Linked DNA regions of Alligator mississippiensis. The protein of the gene in region 2 interacts with the protein of the main gene of each other region in a biochemical or structural test. Links are inferred from orthologs where the notes say so. Each region holds a gene or a part of one and is shown on either strand. Other genes may lie near its edges.

Region 1 (9,923 bases), on a different chromosome or scaffold from region 2:
GGAGTTTTGGTGAGCTGTTGTGGGCTGGGTCAGCACCCTCCCCCGCAACAACTCACCAAAACTTTCTAAATGGTAGATTACTAGATGGTCCAGGGGCGCTAGATGGAGTGAGCAGGCAGGGTCTCTATGGAGACTGGCCCGGGACCCTGGTGGGCAGGATGTGCTTGGCTGGATGGGTGAGTTGGGGCCACAGGTGGGCAGGAAGCGGTATCCAGGAGCAGAATGGGCAGACAGGGCCAGGGCCAGGACTGGGCTTGCGGGGCACAGACAGTGTGGGGCTGGGTTCGGGGCCAGGGCAGATCCACACCCTGCACAATGGATAGTAAGTGGCCCAACTTGGAAAGGGGGTGGAGAACGTGTCCATGACCCAGCTCCTGCTTCTCCTGTGCCAGCACTGGAATGCCTGGGCAGCCCCAGTACAGTATGGCCCAGCAGCATGGGGCTGACCCAACAGATTGTGACTGGATTAGGCCACACTGCACTGCTTGGTTGGCCTGGTCATGATCTGTCTTATGAGGACATGGCTCTGCCCTGGCCCCATCCTGTCATCACCCCATGATCCTGCTCCTGGCCCTTGCCCCACCTGCCCATCCTGTTCCCAGATGCCAGTCCCTGCCTTCCCATGGCCCCATCCCACCCACCTGGCTGAGTGTGCTATACCCATGGGGGTCCCAAGCTAGTCTCCATGGAGACCCTGTTCTTCCACTTGATCTAGTGCCCCTGGCAGTGGGCACAGGGGAGACTGGTCAGGGTGCCCAGGCAGCAGGGCCAGCGCTAGGGCTGGCAGTGTCATTGACACTGGAAGCAGAAGCTGGAAGGAGCTGCTGCCACTGCCAGGGCTGCTGGGAAGTGAGGTATGGCCACCACACTGCCCCAGCCCTGCTGCGCACCTGGGGCCAGTGGGACCAACTGTACGCACCACAGCCCAGGCTGTCCTGGGCTGGGCTAGGCAGGGCCAAAGGATCTGGAGCTGGCTAGATAAAATCCCATGGACTGTATTTTGCCCATCCCTGTTGTAAGCTGTTGGGGTGGGAGGCTGGGATGTATGGACACTAGGTAACTGAGGGGTAGTTCTCAGTTTGGCAGGAGGCTTTTCTGCAAGCTGTTTGCTGGTCATGGTGACAAGTGATCCAGTGCGTCATGCTGATGCTGCATTTCTCGGAAATTGTATGCCTGAATGACTGGTTTTTCAAATGCATTTAGCCTGAGAGGAGATCTTTCCTCTGGCAACAGACATCACAGTGCAAAGTTAAAAAGAGAGAAAAATCATTTGATCACAGAAATACTGCAATTAAAATTAATGGTCACAATCAAACGTGGGTTTCCAAGCAGAGGCAAAAATTAGCTTTCTCAGTGGCAGGGAGTGGCCAGCAGGAGTCCCTGTTGATCACCTCAGTGAATCATTCAGAGCTTGAGTCTTTCACTTATATCTCAGATCAAGCAATTAGTGCCCCTACAGCTTTATTTTGCATTGTCTTCCCTACCATCAAAGGTAATCTTTATTGAACACTTATATGAATCCCTATTTGCTAATGCCATCCAGGATACTTTGTGTAAAAATAGCAAAATTGAAAGAGGGAAATTGGGAAATAAATTCTTATATTGCAGTTTTCCAAATGAAATCTCCCTCAAGTTGTTGTGAAGTGGTTGGTACTTTAAAACTGTAACACTCAATCTAGCATAAAAGCTATTTAAATCTTTCAAATTAGATCCCCCCTTCCCCCATTTCTTTTTCTTTTCTCTCCTGTATTGTGATACTGGGTATTTTTTTTATAAATTTGAAGATGAAACCAGCATGGAAAATGTCTATATTTAACCCTTAAGTTTTCTGCTTTTCCTCGGTGATCCAGACTGCTAAAGATTTTGGTTCAAATGCCAAGAAATTTGCTCATCACCTGTAAACAGCATCACAGTTAACCATGCTTCTTAGTTCACTTTACACTTTCACATAATAGCTGTTTAGAAAAGGTAGGGAATATTAATTTATTCAATTTCAAATGTTACTAAACACTGGTCATGAATAACTCCTGTCTACATTTTAGGCTCCCTTGAAAATACTTCTTCCAAGATTTAATGGTAAATAATATAAATAAAGATCGTAGTGTAAAGATGGTTATTTGAAACTGAAATTAATTACCAGTAAATTAATTACCAGTAAAAATATGAGGCAGGTTATTTTAACTCTAAGTGCACCAAGGCATTGATTTGCCTGTGCATATTTGTGGAGCAAAAGTATTAACAGGATATTACTTACTTATTAGGAAAACTGAAAAGTATATGTATATGAGACAAAAGTATATGAGGCAAAACTGAGAATACTGAGAACACAGCATTTTCATAGAAAACAAGATAATCCCCTCAGAATCAAAGTGGTAATTTGATTTTTGGACTGTATTTAAAACATCTATAATTGGAAGTTAAAAGGAAATGAGCTCATAGGTACTGATTCTTCTCTTTACTATATTTAACAATTATAGCATTATAGGGAGGGAGATAGCAAGCTTATATCTTAAAAGCTAGATTGCATTTATATTTTACTTGAATCCTCAAACTGTAACAATAATAACATGTGTTTGCTGTTATTAGGCTACCCAATATATGCAGTAGGTTACACAGGTGATACTCACCGTACAGTATGGTTAACATTGACACAGGCATGACAAGGAAACCCAACAGCATATCAGCTATTGCGAGTGACATTAGAAAATAATTAGTGGCATTCTGTAGCTTTTTCTCCAGTGACACAGCCATGATGACAAGAATATTCCCAGCAATGGTTAGAACAATCACAATAACTGTCAACAAAGCTGGCCAATTTTTCTCTGGAAGCTGAATCCATGATGAAAAGCAGGGTGGGCTCGGACTGCCTTCACACGAAAGATTAGTTAGGTTTTCAGAGTCCACAGTTAAGTTAAACAGATGAGATGTGTTAACCTCTCCAGATACAAAAACATTTTTGTAAAGTCTTCTCTCATGATTTAATTGTATTAAGGAGTTTGTAGTTGGGTTCACAGAACTCTCCTCATCACAAAGAATATCCATTGCTGAAACTGGTGAGTATGTATAGTAAAAAGCTGAAAGCATAAATTTTTGTCACCATCAGGCTTTATATTCCTTTGTTGTCCAAAGCTGAAGCTGGTGTAAAGGAAGGATTATTTTTTGATAATTACTTTTTCTTTATTATCCGGATGGAATTATTCTGAACGCTGAAATACTTTCTTTTCGGCTCCCTGTGAAGTCCCTTATTAGCATATGTTAAAAATCCAGTTGAAAAACAAAATCAATATGGAGAATAGAAAATGTGGACTTGAGGTTTTGGAGAGCAAAAACAATGGGCAAAAAACTTTTGCAACCATCAGGACTCTCTTCTGTAGCTACATCTTATTGCTCTTCATAACTGTAATCACACAATTTTAAATGCAGCAGTATTAAAATAGCTTGCTATACAAAACAGCAGAGCTCTGTTCCACAATGAGAAAGTTGATTAAAGATTCCACCCAGCATCTAACTCTTACAATAATAAGATATGCTCTTATTTATAGTTCATCTTCCATATTACTGGCTGATAGTCTCTGACTTCTGTCATATTTCAATATCATTCTGAGTCTCACACCAGTGATTACAAGTAATATTCCACATTGATTTTAATATCTAATAGTATCTTTTGGCTCAGCATGGCTTCAAAATAGAAATAAAATGACTAAATGCTACAATTAAAAATATAGTATAGGAAGACTTACATTGCTGAGAGCCCACATTCAAAGTTCCTTAGATCCACCTTGTACTCTGATTTGCCATATCCTTCTCTGAGTCCCTTCTCTCTAGTGGCCACAAAAACACTAGTATTTTGATTACAGTTACGTTGACTTCTAAACTGTACACTTGAGAGAAGCCAGTTCCTGTGTAGCCAGTCTTGTTCTTTTCTTCTGAGAGAGAGGCTGCTTGCTGTATCTTTCCTTGTGCATTTTCCCCCCCAAGGGCAAGCTACATGGAGAGTAATAACAATATCAGACCCCCCCTCAAAGTGATACAAAAGAAAGCACACGAACTAGAAGGAGCAGTCTCCAGAAAGAGATTACTGATTTCAACAGGAATGTAATTTCTTGCTCACTGCCTTGTTCAGTTTGTCAGACCTCCCACTATCTAGATGTCATAAACTGCAAGGTAGCAACAGCAAAGGAGGACAGACCAAATAGGGTCTTTTTTTGGTAACTGCCAGTTTTTTCATTTGATCATTTTTGAGGTCTTAGTTTTGTTTAAGAAAATGCACATTTTCCCTTTGCAAAGGATGCCCTTCAAGCCAGCTGTGTACAATTATAATATCTTGTGGGGTGAATGTTTGAGGAAGACAATAAATAAAGATAGTAATGGTACATGCTGGTAAAACTGTAAATGTGCAGCTTTTTCCATCCTAAAGGTTGCAGCTTTTATGCTAACCCTAAACTGAATTACTCATGTTCAGTCCTCCCTTATCTGATTCCTGGGTGTGTGCTGATGACCTAACCAAACTGCCAACAGATATTTATAAAAAATAAAAAGTAATCATAATTTAATTATTTGTCAGGAAGTGGAAGGTACAAATAAACCCTGATAACCTATTTGGAAGAAAAGTGCCCCAAATGAAGTAGGCAGACAAGGTTTCTTGGGTGAATTTGATATCTTTTATTAGACCAACCCAAATAGTTGGAGAATAGTTATTAAGCAAGCTTTCGGGTTCAAAAACCCTTCGTCAGGCTAAGGAAGTTTCAGCAGTTGGTGTGTGCTCTTCCTGGATGGAATGAAAAGTAAAGAAGCCAGAGGCTGGGCTGGGGAGTCAGTTGCCAGGCTGATTATAATGTGTCAAAAATCCAATGTCTATATTTAGTCCACGATCTCTAGTATCCAGGAGGTTGATGAAATGGAGTTCACAGACCACCTTCCCAGCAACACACTCGTAGCCACCATGGACGTTACCATCCTATATACCAACATCCCACACCAGGATGGCATCCAAGCCTGCCTTACATATCTACAGGAACAAGATTACAACACAGATTACAGACCCAAAGATATTACTGACCTTATACACTTCATCCTCACACACAACAATTTCACTTTTAATAACCAACACTTCCTCCAGATGATGGGAACAGCTATAGGCACTAAAATGGCCCCACAGTATGCAAACCTTTTTATGAGCCACCTGGAAGAAGACTTCCTCAAGAACTACACCATCAAACCCTTGCTATACTTAAGATATATCAATGACATCTTCATCATTTGAACTGAAAACCTACAATCTCTGATTGAGTTCCATCAGAAATTCAACAATCACCATCCCTCCATCCGACTTTCTCTAGAATACTCCAGCACCAGCATCTCCTTTTTAGACACGATGATCAATATCCAGAATGATAAAATACAAACCACATTATACAAGAAACCCACAGACCAACATACATATCTGCACAGAACCAGCAATCACCCTAAACGCACCAAAAAAGCTGTGATATACAGCCAAGCCCTCAGATACCACCGCATTTGTACTGAAGAGAACACCTGGGATTGCCACCTCACCAATCTTAAAAAGGCTTTCACCCAACAAGGACACTCCTCCAGAGAGGTAGATCGCATGTTTGAAACAGCCACCTAGATACCACATGAAGAACTGCTGCAGTACAGAAGAAAAACACCCACAAATTGCACACCGCTGGTTATGACATATCACCCCTCCCTTGAACCTGCACGAAAAATCCTCAAACAACTGCAACCCATACTAGAAAGAGACCCTATTCTTAAAAAGATCTTCCCAGAGCCACCCATCCTAGCCTTCAAACAAGCACCGAACCTCACCAACCTCATCACCAGAAGCAAACTTCCTTAAGCCCAGAACACACCAAAAGGATCCAGACCGTGCCATGACAAGAAATGCAAAACCTGCCAACACATCTCCACCACCCCCACTATTACTACACCCCACAACAGAGCCAGCAGCATTCCTGGATCTTACAGCTGCACCTCCAGAAATGTAATATACCTCATCCAATGCACCAAATGCCCTGATGGAAAATACGTAGGAGAGACCAAACAACAACTGCACGCCAGAATGAACGCACACCGGAAATCTATCAAAGACAGAAATACCCAATTACCGGTGGGGGCACATTTCTCACAGGAGGGCCACTATCTCTCCAGTCTCTCAGTCCTGATCCTCAAGGGAAACTTACACAACACTCCCCAGAGACGAGCCTATGAGCTCCATTTCATCAACCTCCTGGATACTAGAGATCATGGACTAAATATAGACATTGGATTTTTGACACATTATAATCTGCCTGGCAACTGACTCCCCAGCCCAGCCTCTGGCTTCTTTACTTTTCATTCTATCCAGGAAGAGCACACACCAACTGCTGAAACTTCCTTAGCCTGACGAAGGGTTTTTGAACCTGAAAGCTTGCTTAATAACTATTCTCTAACCATTTGGGTTGGTCTAATAAAAGATATCAAATTCACCCAAGGAACCATGTCTGCCTATGTCCTTAGACCAACACAGCTACAACCTACACCACTGCCAAATGAAGTAGTACAGTCATGTAAAGTGTTCTGGGATAAATAGTGGAATTAAACCCCCTTCCGTGATTTTTCCTATTCCTTTGTAATATCTGTGCCATGACACTTATGGGAGACTAGTTGACTATTCTTTTCCACATTGTAGTAGGGTTGGAGTGTTGTTGTACAACCCTGTGTTGGAAATCTTGTCCAACATCCTTCCCAGCTATACGCTTGGTCCCGTAAAAGATATCACAAAAAACCCTTGCCTCTAGTACATTTCCTAAACCATCACAGGTACAACAATACAGAATGAATAATTACAGAAAAAAGGAAAACACTTTTCATGGAACAACCACTCTGTTTCTGACCTCACAGTCCTTTTAGTCAAGGGAAATCTGAAAAACACCTTCAAAAGACAGACGTGGGAGCCAACATTTATAACATTCATAACACTAAAAATCATAGATTAAGCCCAAAAAATGTCTTTCTGACTCACTACACTCTACCTGCTATCTCTGCTAAAATCTCTGCACTCCACAGGTAATAATAACCCTTTTCTCTTCTGAATAGTCCTGTTCTACGTAAGTTGGCGTTCGTTTGAACTATATTCCCCTTGTTTTGAAGCTATTTCTGATAGCCTCTCTCTGTTCCTACTTTTCAGTCATCTTCCATTCCTTTAAGTGACTGTTTTAATTCACAAAACACAACCCCCAACCCCAGCCCACACTGGTGGATAGCATACTTTCCTGGGAGTTGTGGCTTTGAACTCCTGGGACACATCCAGATGAGTGCCCACGTCCAGTTTGCAGCACCTCAAAAGTAGTTTGAGGCACCACAAACTACATGCAGTGCACATGCACCCATTCGCTACACTGCTAATTTGTAGCGTGGCTGTTTTTTTGATACCAGGAGATCCCTGAGGCTAAGAAGGGCCTAAACAGTAGGTCCTCCATTTTCTGAGCAACTGTTTTAGCTAGTAGTTGTTGATAGACATGGACACTGGCATCACTCCCTCCTCAAGCCGTGCATAAGAGTGGCAAGGCCTATTGTGCTCTTTGCTGAACTTAACCCTGCCAACATGCATTAGGTGTGTTCTGAGTGCACCTACTGGATCAGTACCTTGAGGAGACTTAGGACCAGAAATGGCTAGTTAATAAATCCCAAATGGATATAGGTATGAGACAGTGGCTGAGATACTCATCTTTGTCAAGGTGGCATCATTTAATGCAAGTAGCACAAATGTAGGTGCCTACTTAAGTTTACCAGTAAAAACATAGCTGCCTTTGCCCTTTCAGGCCACATCCAAATGAGCGTGGTTGTTTGTTTCCCCAGGGACAAGTAGCAGCAACACACCTTGTGAGCAAAAAATTACATTCCTGCTGGATTTAATAATCTCTTTCTAGAGACTGCTCCTTCTAGTTTGCGTGCTTTCTTTTGTATCACTTTGATTCTGATATTATTATTACTCACCATGTAGCTAGCCCTTCGGGGGGGATGCACGACGAAAGATACATTTTGTGCCACTGCTACTTGTCCCTGGGGAATGCCCATGCCATGGGCACTCTGGTGCATGGCAGGTTACCCTGGGTGAGCTAGGGGAGGCTGGGCCCAGCAACTGTGCCGGCCTCAGCAGCCTTACCTGGGGTCCTGGGGGCTTTGGGGAGCTGCAGCCATGGCACTCCTGCAGCTGGGAGCCTGGCCGGCAGTTGGAGTGTGGCTCCAGCCAGACAGGGTCTGGTTTTAGGCAGCATGCACTGCCACTACGTGAGCCACCCCACATTTTTTTGGTGTGACCCTGGGGAAAAAAACCCTCTTGCACTGCAAGGCAGTAGCATGGGGCATGCCTGCATGTGCGATTTGTGGCACCATGTACCATGCATCCGTGCCATGCTCATGTGGACGTTGCCTCAGGTGCCTAAACAGATATGTAGTTTTTGTTTGTTTGTTTGTTTTTTTAACTGTTCAGCTGGACTTTAGTTAGCTACATTTTGCCTGAGTTCTACTTTAGGCACCTTTGTCTCTTTTTGGGTCTGGTTTAAGGCATCTTGACTAGGCTCGCGCAGGTATAACTCTCAGGTTTTCTGAATAATGTGCCTTTGGCTGAAGTGTCCTTCCTTCCCCTTTCTCTGCCTGGAAAGAACCTAGTACCTTGTGGAGTCTATTGGAAACATACATCAATAATTATTATTTAGTATTTACCTATAATTATTTCCCTAAGAAAACACCAGGTTCCTTAATATTCAACTGAAACCATAGGGTTTTATCAAATAAAGCAATAAGTTTCCTGCTTTTCTGATGAATTGAGGGCACCTATATTCTTTGGAGGTGCTCCTCCACTTACAGAAGTTGGTCTACATTTTGTGCAGTTAATGGGAAAAATTCAAGCCTAAAGAACAAATATAACCCACAGATTTTTACAAAATGGTACATGTGAAGGAGTCAGCTCTGAAAATTGCAGGTCCCAACATAAGTCTTCTATTCTGAATTAAACAACCTTCCACTCAGATAATGGTAGAGCATTACACACTAGAGCCTATTGTCTCTGTGGGCTGAATACTTGCATTAGTAATAAAGACAGCTGTGATTTGTTCCATTTTCTGTGAAGTGAAGTCTTAGTTTGAAGCATCATCCATGTGGTCCCAAGCACCCTTTAGAAACATAGCTGGCAGCAGGACAGACCATGCTTTTTTTACTTTCTAGAAGGCACCAAGATATAATATTCACAAAAGTTGTTTCTCTATTCATTGACTCTATTTGGAAATGTTGAAAGACACCTGTTTCATTTTTTTTGCTTGATTGCTAGAGCATTTTTAATCCATTGCCCAGACTTGAAACAGTAGATATTTGGTTACAAATTTATTGCCACCTGACAGGTGTTTGATTCACAGGAAATAAATGCATGGTCTTAATCCAGTTTCTCAAAAAACATGCATCTTACAATAGAGAATCTCAGTGGAGAGGACAAACACTAAGTGAATGTAGAGGATTAAGCTATTTTTCAGACCCAGGAGGTGTTCCTTATAAATCTCCTCTAGCTGGAAAGCCATGTGGAAGCTGTTGTTGCTTTTGCCTTGTTCTTCTGTATTGCAAATACACTGAGGACATTGATCCTACAAACACATACTTGTGTAATTTCAGACATGTGAATAGTCTCATTTAGTTAAACACACACGTTAGTTTTTGCTGGATTAATGCCTTATCTCAATTTCAATATATCTTCCCTCTTCCCACCACTAGCATTACATTTTCTTAAAGATAAAGGAATAATATATTATTCCTTTCCAAAGACTAGGAAGTAGAGTACAATGTGAGGCTGTGGACAGACCAAACAATTATGCTGCTTTAAAAGGGAGGAGGTGTACTTATCTTTCAAGAGTACATATCAGCTAATA
Region 2 (10,388 bases):
TTTAGTTTAAAAGTCCATTGAAAGCTTGAAGTGGGAGTAGTTGGGGGGGGGGGGGGGGGCTGGGAACCAAACAAAAAAACCCCAAAAACAACCCCCCCCCCCCCCCCACAAGCTGTGCAATTAACTCATTTACCTCCAGACCAAGCTAAAATGGGAGACTATGGACAAGCATTCAAAGCCAGGCAATACAGAACATTAAGCCTGAAGGTTAAACACAATGCACTAGTCCAGGATACCATGTAGCCCCTTTCTGTTTCTGCCATGTTCAAATACAAGCAACATACCAAAAGAGCTCCACTGTATAAATCGCTTTATTTTCTGCTTATTAGTTCTTTACCAACACTACAACCATACTGAGAACACAAAATTCCTGTTTGCTTTAGTCAGGGAGAATCACAGTCTACAGACTTATTTATTCACTTAGACAAGATGAACGCTGTTTAAAAAAAAAAAAAACAACAAAAACAAACACCCAAAAAACCAGAAAAAGCAAAACAAAAAAAAAACCCCTTACTCCAAGTTACTTCATAAAATTCACAAGAACACAGGTTGATGCACTTAAACTTCAGATTCATTTTTGAAGCGATTGGAATTCTTACACAGATTGCTACTTTATCCTGCAGGCTTAAGTAGTGCATTGAAGCCACTGGTTAGTTTCAACTATAACCCTATTAGAGGACATTTTCAAAATGAAGCATTTATCTTTTGTTCAGTAGCAAAAAGTGTTTATTTTTTAATCATCTGCCACACAAGTTTCAGTAATTAAAGTTACTTCTCCCAGAATGACATTAAAAAAAAATTCAGAAGTATAATTAAAGTTCATCCTTTTACCTACAAAACAGGATATCTAAAGTAACAAAAATTACCAAGAAAATACAAAATTGTGAATTCAACTTAATGCAAAAAGTCTAATGAAGCAATTTAGGCTTATCCCCAAACCATGTCTGAGGAGATAGAAAGCAGTACATATTAACTCTAGACTGAAACTGAAAGAACCCAAGTTTTCATTTTGATTGAGAATATGTTTAAGAACCATCAGTATAACAGAGCTTCAAGTTTTCCAGTTTAGGCATCTACTTTGTGCTTGGCTTTATTTTTTTTTCCCCAGAAGAAAACAATATATTGTATCTTGGTGCTTTGGTTTCTGCACCTTTACACCACATTATGTTTGATCAGTTAAACTGAAATAAAAGGCTTCTGGAATTTGTAATAGCTAGAAAATAGGGCAATGAGCTTTCAGTTATGAGACTAAGTAGAGATCTTTCATTTCCCCATCCAAACTGGGAATTTAGGATCATTGGTTTTTAGCTAGCTTCTCCAATTGGTTTTTCATTTACACAGATTTCTTTAGGAATCACTGCTCCATTTTCTAGCATCAAGAACCCTTTCATTGCGATTTGCAATTCACACCAATTGTGTCCCTCTTTAGAGCCATTTTCTAATCACCAATTTTTTCCAAGTGGCCTTAAGCACTCAATTTTTAATCTTCCCATACATCTTTGGTAAAAAGCTCCATGTACATTATATTTAACATGCAGAGTTAAAATTGCAAAAATGTAGTGTAATGCCCCAATTTAAATGTGAATCTAATACCCTAAAAAAAGAAAAAAAAAAAAAGAGAAAAGCCATTTTCTTCTGGTTTTGTAGCATACATTCCTAGAATTCCCCAATAGACTTTAACTCCTTGAGGAAATCTGAAGTTAATCTTTAAGGCTGAATAAGAACCAGCTGCTTTACAATTTTTTTTTGCACCTAGTATTAATACTTGATTGAACTCATTTCATACCTACTCAAACACTTGGTTTTTTTGCCAGTCACAGGCATCTGAAAACTGCGATACAGCAAATGAGCTGCTTGCCCTTTAAGACCTAAATATGGAGATTTACATTCATAGTCATATACTCACTCTTCTCCCCACCCTGACTGAGCAGTTACTCACTGGATTTAAGTTCGGACAGCCAATGGAGATCCTTTCATACAGAATTATATTAACATGCTACTGGAACAGAGGGCTAAGGCCATTTGCAGCTACTTGCATTAATTAAAATTTGTGGTCTTGCAAAAACTAAACTGATAATCACTTCCTCTAAATGGTAATTATTCAAGCATTAAAAAAAATAAAAAGAAAACAAGAAAAAAAAAAACACCTTTCAGTTAAAAGCTTAGGAGTGAGCTTTCTTACTTGAGTGTTTATGGTACAGAAACAGAAGTTGTTTCTCTGCAGCTCCTTTAAAGCTACATAAAAATCACATAAGGCAAGGGGGGGGAGGGAAGGAGTCAACACAAACATTTCCTGTACTGCAAGACAAGGAAGTCAGGGTCTGATTTTTGCCCACAGTTTTGATTTTAAGTAAAAATCATCACATTATTGCTACATTTTCTGGAGATCTCTTGCATTGAAATGGGAGTCTGATGTGTAACTGATTATGATCACAAGAGTCAGTGATATTTAGCTGCAATGCAACAGGAACTGAATAGGAGTATACCCTGAAACTATTACATCATTCACGTCTTACTCACTATATGGTTGCTATGCTGTATGGGACCTACTTGCATCCCTATTCATGCATGATGTATGGTTCAGAACTTCACAGCTGACATTTCAAGCAGTTCTTACATTACCTAGTTAACATTACACCTGATATACACTTTGAACGCATTACAATGGTATTCTCACTACCTGCTGCTGTAGGCAAACATTTTTTTTTATTTCATATTAGTCTTGGAGATGAAAAAGACAAAATTTCAAGTCACTAATTACAGATCAGCAGAACTTTTTTTTTTTTTTTAAAAAAAGTCCTCCATATAAAAAGACAGACTGCGGTTTGATTTTAAGCAATCATTTTTAGTTTACTAGATGAAATAGACCTATCAACATATTCTGCATGAATGCAAGAAAGTAGCAATCTACAGCAATTCAAAGAAAAAAAAAGAGCCAGAAAGCATACACCCAGAGGTACCCTTACTCCTCCCACCCCAGAGGAATGGGGGTGGAAAAAAAAAAAAAGAGGGTAGTCAAGAAAGAATGAAAAAAAAAAAAAAAAAAAAAGAGTTACTTAGCAAATCTACAACGTGTCTTTTCCCCTTGTTTGCTGGAAGTCTGCCATAGCATCTAGTGCTTGTGTTCATGTCACATTTGAGGATTAGAGCATCCTAATGCCAAGCAAGAAGAGTTAAAATAGGAATCCAGTCAGTGTGTCGAAGAAAAGGGCGGTTGTGGGAGAAGAGGTGATCATAATCCTATGGATGCTTTGCTTTTCTGCCGAGAACTGGTCTTCTGGGAAGCCACGTGGGTTAATTCTTTATTTCTTTATTTATTCATTTTCCTTAAATTCTCCATAGCCTAAAAGAGTTTCATTTGTATGTGTGCGCGCGTGCGTGTCCCCCCCCGCCCGCCATTAGGATTTATAGTTGGACGTTAACCACGTCAGCCCTTCGTAGAGTCCGTCCCCCGTGGTGGCACAGGAGGGCTGCACGTACCAATTCCTATCCCTGATCCGCGTCAGGCCCAGTTTCTCCTGGATCTCGTGGGGTTTCATGGCGTCGGGGAGGTCCTGCTTGTTGGCGAAGATGAGGATGATGGCGTCCCGCATCTCCCGGTCGTTGATGATGCGGTGCAGCTCCTGGCGCGCCTCGTCGATGCGGTCGCGGTCGGCGCAGTCCACCACGAAGATCAGGCCCTGCGTGCCCGTGTAGTAGTGCCGCCACAGGGGCCGGATCTTGTCCTGCCCGCCGACGTCCCACACGTTGAACTTGACGTTCTTGTACGTCACCGTCTCCACGTTGAAGCCCACCGTGGGGATCGTGGTCACCGACTGGCCCAGCTTCAGCTTGTACAGGATGGTGGTCTTGCCCGCCGCGTCCAGCCCCAGCATCAGGATCCGCATCTCCTTGTTGCCGAAGATCTTGGACAGCACCTTGCCCATCTCGGCGGCATCCACGGGGCCCCGGGGTGGGGGAGGGGCGGGGGGAGGAAGGGGGGGAGGGGGCTCCTCACGGGCGCGGCCCAGCAAGGGGGGTGGGGGGGCGTGGGCCGCTGTCCCAGGCCAGGCCCGGCTTAGCCCGTCGGCACCCGGCGGCCCCTCAGCTCATGGAAGCCGGCACCGGCTCCTGCCTGCGGAGGGACCGAGAGACAAGGTGAGCGCCCGCCCGTGAGGGGCCCGACCCGGCCTCGCGGAGCAGCCCGTTACCTGCCACTGCCGCCGCCGCTCCCCTCAGGCCGCCGGAAAAGCCCGCCTCACTTCCCCTCAGCTCGCAACGCGCAGGCGCACCACGCGCCCGCCCGGCCGGACCGGCCGTTATGAGGCGGCCCCTCCCCCTCCGCGAGCGCACTGCGCCTGCGCCGCGCCCACGCACGCCCGGCCGCAAGACGCACCGCGCATGCGTGCAGCGGCTCTGGGCCTCACCGCGCATGCGGAGGAGAGGGACGCGCCAACGGTGATGCCCCCGCTGGGGTGTGCGCATGCGCTTGACGTCACTCGGGTGGGGCGAAGCCTGCTGGAGGAGGAGGAAGGCGGGCAGGGCGCCTGCGCGGCATTGCGCAACCGGAACACAAGGGAGCGGCCTTGGCTCGCGTAATTTTCCCGGGACGCGCGCTGCTCATGCGCAGAGCCGGGCGCCGCCTAAATTCGACTTCCGCCTTGCTGCGGCTGCGCCTGCTCAGTTGGGGAAGGAGGGGGCTAAAGGGAGGGTGTGCGCATGCGCGCACCGGCTGGGGTGTGGTTTCTATGGGGAGAGGCGCCACGCGATCCCACGTCAGCAGCTGCGCGCGGGGGTGCCCCGGGGTCCTCTTAAAGGGCCAGGCCGCGCGGGCCCGAGCCACGTGGGGGACGCAGGGCTGGGCCACGCCGGGCACAACATCGACCTACATATTTCCAGTGCGGTCCGTAGTGTCCAAGCCAGCCTGTCCCCAGCTCTTGGCTCTAGTCTCCTGTGTTCCTGCAGCACACAGTGACAACTGAGACCTGGCCTCTGAGCCGTGCCCTGAGTCTGACAAGCAGTGCCACGTGTCTGTCAGAGATGTCATGAGTAGCAGATACACGGGGGCAGGGCTAGCATTCAGAGTGACCTAGACAACTTGGAGGATTGGGTCAAAAGGAATTAAACAAGGACGAGTGCAAAGTCCTGCACTTGGGACGGAGCAATGCCCTGCACCGGTGGGGGCTGGGGGTGCCTGGCTGGGCAGCAGCTCTGCAGAAGAGGCCCTGGGGTGACAGTGGGCAAGAAGCTGGAGATGAGCCAGCAGTGTGCCCTCGTTGCCAAGACAGCTAACGGCATCCTGGGCTGCTTGGGTAGGACCGTTGCCAGCATGCCGAGGGAAGTGATTATTCTCCTCTACTCAGCACTGGGGAGGCCACATCAGGAGTCCTGTGTCCAGTTTTGGGCCCCCCGCTACAGAAAGGATGTGGACACACTGGGGAGAGTCAGCGGAGGGCAACAGAAATGGTCTGTGGGCTGGAGCATGTGATTTATAAAGACTGAGGGCGCGGGGTGATTTAGTCTAGAGCAGAGGAGACGGAGAGGGGATTTAATAGCAGCCTTCAACTACCTGAAGGGGACTCAAAAGAGGAAGGAGCTGGACTGGCAGATGACAGGACAAGGAGCAATGGGCTCAAGTTGCAGCAAGGGAAGTTGAGGGATATTAGGAAAAACCCTCACTAGGGGGGTGGTAAAACACTGGAACAGGTTACCCAGAGAGGTGGTGGACTCTCCATCCTTGGAGGTTTTTAAGACCCGGCTCGACAAAGCTTTGGCTGGGATGATCTAGTTGGGGCTGATCCTGCTTGGAGCAGGGGGTTGGACTAGATGTGACCTCCTGAGGTCCCTTCCAACCCTCATTTTCTATGACTATCAAGGGGTGCTGCAAGTTTATCAAGGGGCACTGACTCTATCAAGGGATGCCATGAGTCTACCAAGGGTTGCCATGAGTCTGTGAATGTTGAGAACTGATTAGAAGCACCAGGCAGAGGTTAAGGTGGATCAAGTAAAACCTAAACCAACCCATCCCACCAGCCTGGGTTATGAACTCCGAATCTATTTTGGGAGGTTTCCAGAATGCCGTCATGCTCACAACACAACACGTATGTGCTTGTGTATACCACTTATAGATTATGGTGCGTAGACTTTACATCAGGAAGGCAAATGCACATTACTATTACATTTTAAAACCCCACTAGACTACTATATAAATCAGATTAAACATTTAATGCATATTTTAATGAATGCCCTATCATTTATGTCCCAGGTGACTCTCAGCAGTCTCCTGGAGAGTTATATCTAATTCCTGGAGACTCCAGGGCAATCCTGGCAGGTTGGCAACCCGACCACCAGCATGGACTCAGTGACCATGGATTGTGTCAGCCAAATCTAATTTCCTTGTCTGACAAGGGAATGGGTCCAGGGGAAGCGGCATATGTGATGCGCTGGGGCTATAGTGAAGCTTTTAGCATTGTGACAAGACGTTCTCCTGAGCACGTGCGGGAAGCGTGGTCTATGTGAAGTCCAGTTTATATGCTGCTCTGTGCTGTCCTTTCACAGCGTCTGATGAAGTGAACTTGAGTTCATGAAAGCTAGTGCTTTATATATACATCTTATTGAGTTAGGCTATAAGGGTGAGTCTCATCCATAGTGCACCCACAGTTGTGATTCAATCTTTGTCCCCCACATGGGAGACCTGAATTTGATTCCTAGATGCAGGTGTAACTACAGCTATTGAAGCACCGAAGGTCTGGACTTTGGATACTGTCTTAATGGACTAAAGTGGGGGGATAGAAGGTCTGGCCAGCCTCCCCTCCTCCAAACTCCTCTCTGGATGTGTGTGTCAAAAGTCCTGGTGACCTCTCACACATGCACTATGATCCAGAAGGACTGTTGCCTGCTACATCAAGGATACCAGGGCACCCTGGGGTGCTGCCAGATCCTTTGAAGGGTGCCACAGGCTTATCCCTGTTTGTCCCACACTCCCACTGCTAAGCCCCTTTGCATGAAAGGGAGTAATGTATGAATCCGTTTTTGAAAGTAGGTGCTGCTCAAGTGGCAAAAGTTACACAGAGGGGTCTCGCATCCAACGTGGGGTGCCTTGAGTCCAGCAAGGTTGAGAACCTCTGGTCTGTAAGGCGTGTCTACCCTGCCTTCTACGTGAAGTCATTGTTAGACGGTTGAAAAAGCACACTTAAAAGATAGTTATCAATGTTTCACTGTCAAACTACGAGAATATTTCCAGTGGGGTCTTACTTCCCTTTGTCCTGGGCCAAGTTCCATTGGCTATTTTCATTAACATCCTGAATGATGCAATCGAGAGGGCAGTTATAAAGCTGTCAGTCTTACCAAGCTGTAAAGTGTTTCAGGTGCTCTCAAGATCATGATCAGAAATCAAAATGAACGTAATAAAGAGAGAAATTGTGTGCAAGCACCAAGATGGGATAAAGGTAAGTGCAGCATGCTATGGAAGGAGAAAGCAAGGGCACAAATACAAAATGGGGACTAACTGGATAGGCAGCAGTATTTCCAAGAAGGATCTCAAGGTTATAATGGAGCGTACGCTGAACATAAGTTAATAATGTGATTTTGTTGCATAACAGGCAAATTTCATCCTGCATTGTATTAAGAGGAATGGCCACCACAGAAGGTGGTTATTCTACTGTACTGGTGTGGGTGGAGACTTCAGATGAAATACTGGTGCGCTTTAAGTCACGCTTTAAAAAGGATGTAAAGAGACTGGAGTCCAGAAGAAAGCAGCAACCGCAAAAAAAAAAAGTGTTGCCATCATAACTTCATAGATTTCATAGACATTCGGGCTGGAAGGGACCCCGGAGGATCACTGAGTCCAGCCCCCTGCCCCAGGGGCAGGAAGTCAGCAGGGATCATAGGATCCCAGCAAGATAAGCATCCTAATGTGTCTTGAAGGCGTTCAAAGTGGGTGCTTGAACCGCCTCTGGCAGCAGTCTATTCCAAACCTTGGGGGCTCAGACAGTAAAGAAGTTTTTCCTTATGTCCAGCCTGAATCGGTCGTGGCGGAGTTTGTGACCGTTCGACCTTGGGGCGCTCTGGTGAACAGATTTTCCCCCAGATCCTGATAAGCACCCCTGATAAACTTATAGGTGGCCACCAGATCACCCCTGAGCCTGCGCTTTTCCAAGCTGAAGAGTCCCAGGGCTCTCAGCCTGTCATCATAAGGTCTGTTTTCCTGCCCTCTGATCATGCGCGTGGCTCTCCTCTGCCAACTTAAAAGGAAAGGTTGAAGAAACTGGTTTGTCTAGAAAAGACCTGATCAGCCTTTCAGAATTCAGAAGGCTGTTAAAAAGATGATTGATTATGCTCCATGCCCAAAATTGGCAGGGCAAGAAGAAAGTGGCTTAATTTGCAGCACAGAATTAGGCTGGATAGCATGAACTTTCTCTAAGGGTGGTGAAGCAGTGCAACATGTTTTCTGGCATGACGTTGTGAAACCCTCAGAGGAAGTTTTTTGAGAACAAGTTAGACAGCTGCCCTGGATTCTTAGTAGGATCAGTGCAGGGGAGGGACCATTGAGACTCTCCTGAGATCCTTTCCAGCCATGTATATCTAGGGTTGACCTGGTAGCCCCCAGAAGATCTCAAGTGCTTGCCCTTTATCGGAGGCATTGGAGGAGCAAAATTGGACGCAGCATTTCACAAGGCTTAAGCTGCACTGAGAGGTGCGACCTAACTGGGTGGATTATACCGTGCATGTGCAGACATAGTACTCCAAAGGGTTGCCACCCAGTCACTTTTCCCATGACCTAACTGGCTCGAGCAGAAGTGCTGTGGGTTTGGAACCGGAGCAGTACCCAGGCATTGCAAATTTGGCATCCACCCTTGGCAGAAATCTGAATGGTTAGTGTAACCATGTTGCAATAACCTGTCTCTATCAAAGGGCTTTTTGTTCTGGGAAATGTAATCAGAGTATTGCAGAAGATTCAGTGAAGGTGCTCAGACAGTTTTCAACACGAAAAGTTGCATAGGTAAAGGCTGGGAGAGGAGGGGGATGGAGGAGTAGAAAGGGGAATGGAGGGGGAGAGAGTTGGGGCAGTGGCTAGGGGAGGAGGATAAATGGAGATGAGGAGGGGAGAGAGATTTTAGGGCCCATGGCAGGAGAGAGAGGGGTATGGGAAGGTGGGAGGGATTTGGTGACATGGACTGAGGAGTCAGGGAAATTAATATGATGAGAGGGCGTCTTTGAAAACCAGGAGCTATAAAGTTGAAGTACACACATGGATGGAGTGGGGGAGCCGGCTACAGCGAGGTAGCAGGACTGAGGTTGAGGTCGTCATCATGGGTGGACTGGGGGGATGGTCTGCAAGGCCTGGCCAAAGCAGGCGCATGGGAGCATTGTGTGGACGCAGCACCTGAATCCACGTAAAGCTCAAGCTACACAACCCAGGGAGGGCGTGATCATCTGGGGTGCCAAAAATGGGGTGCTGGACACAAGGAGGCACTTCCTGCGTGCTAGTAGGTTGTCGCATGCCAATGCTTTAATAGGGTGGCAGCGGGAGGGTGAGTGGGAAACAGTTTGTGGGGGGCTCTGTATTGTGGGAAAGTGTCAGGGGAAAGGAAGGATGTTCCTGGCGGGCACCACGTCATTAACCTGTCCAGCCCAGGGACACAGACCCTCTCCCACTGGCCCCTGGTAGCAAGTATGCACTCAACACTTTACAAAGATGATCGTAATCCCCGTTTCCCAATAACAAAGCGTGTAAGATTGAGAAAGGCACCCAGCTGCCTGGATTTTACCCATCAGGGTGGCATCCTCTATAGGCCTCAGTGACAACGACAAATGCATAAATGCTGACTAGCTCCGACAGAAAACATTTAATAAAAACCAACCACAACAAGAACAAAGCTAAAGGAAAGCACCAGACCAAGCAAATATCCCCTCGCCCTCCCTAGGAAGTTCAATGTCAGAAAATGTGGTTAATCAAGGTAAAGTTCCCTGGTGATATCCTGTGACCTTCTGGGGCATTGTGCTCAGTGAGTCTCCAGCATGAGCTGTCACAGAGTTTACAGGGCTGTCATGATGGGTGAGAGCTTGTTCTAGTTTCTGCAAACCCAAACTCTAAAGAATTCAGCTGTTTCGGGTGTGTTAGGATTCAGTGACGTTGTGGCTCTGTTTCAAAAAAAGCCATGAGGCCATGGCACAAATGCTGCAGCTGCAAAGTAGAGCATTAAGTTGGGAGAAGCACCAAAGACTACCTTTAGAAGGAGCTCACACCCTCAAATCCCAATCCCAGTTGTAGAATTAGAAATGAGCCAGATCTCCATTGATTTTTGGCATGTGCAAGTGAAAGACAGCATCTGGCACTGGCCAGGAATGAACTCATTTCAGTGCCCTTTTGAGCGTAACCTTTTTCACCGATGGGTAAAATAAAAATC

The links. The genes of interacting proteins can lie anywhere in the genome.
Region 1: the proteins of ARF6 (region 2) and HTR2A form a complex in vitro, tested with the Homo sapiens proteins (2 studies listed by BioGRID). The link is inferred for Alligator mississippiensis from reciprocal best matches to the Homo sapiens genes ARF6 and HTR2A.

The regions. Positions count from the first base shown.
Region 1 is NC_081824.1:412,485,463-412,495,385, forward strand, and holds the start of HTR2A (5-hydroxytryptamine receptor 2A), read right to left. Parts: upstream 4,124-9,923; 5' UTR 3,741-4,123; exon of another isoform or gene 3,398-3,740; 5' UTR 3,085-3,397; coding exon 2,628-3,084; intron 1-2,627. UniProt on the Homo sapiens protein: G-protein coupled receptor for 5-hydroxytryptamine (serotonin).
Region 2 is NC_081825.1:297,970,998-297,981,385, reverse strand, and holds ARF6 (ADP-ribosylation factor 6), read right to left. Parts: upstream 4,312-10,388; 5' UTR 4,191-4,311; intron 4,115-4,190; 5' UTR 3,927-4,114; coding exon 3,399-3,926; 3' UTR 294-3,398; downstream 1-293. UniProt on the Homo sapiens protein: GTP-binding protein involved in protein trafficking that regulates endocytic recycling and cytoskeleton remodeling. GTP-bound form plays an important role in the transport of multiple palmitoylated proteins form the Golgi to the plasma membrane.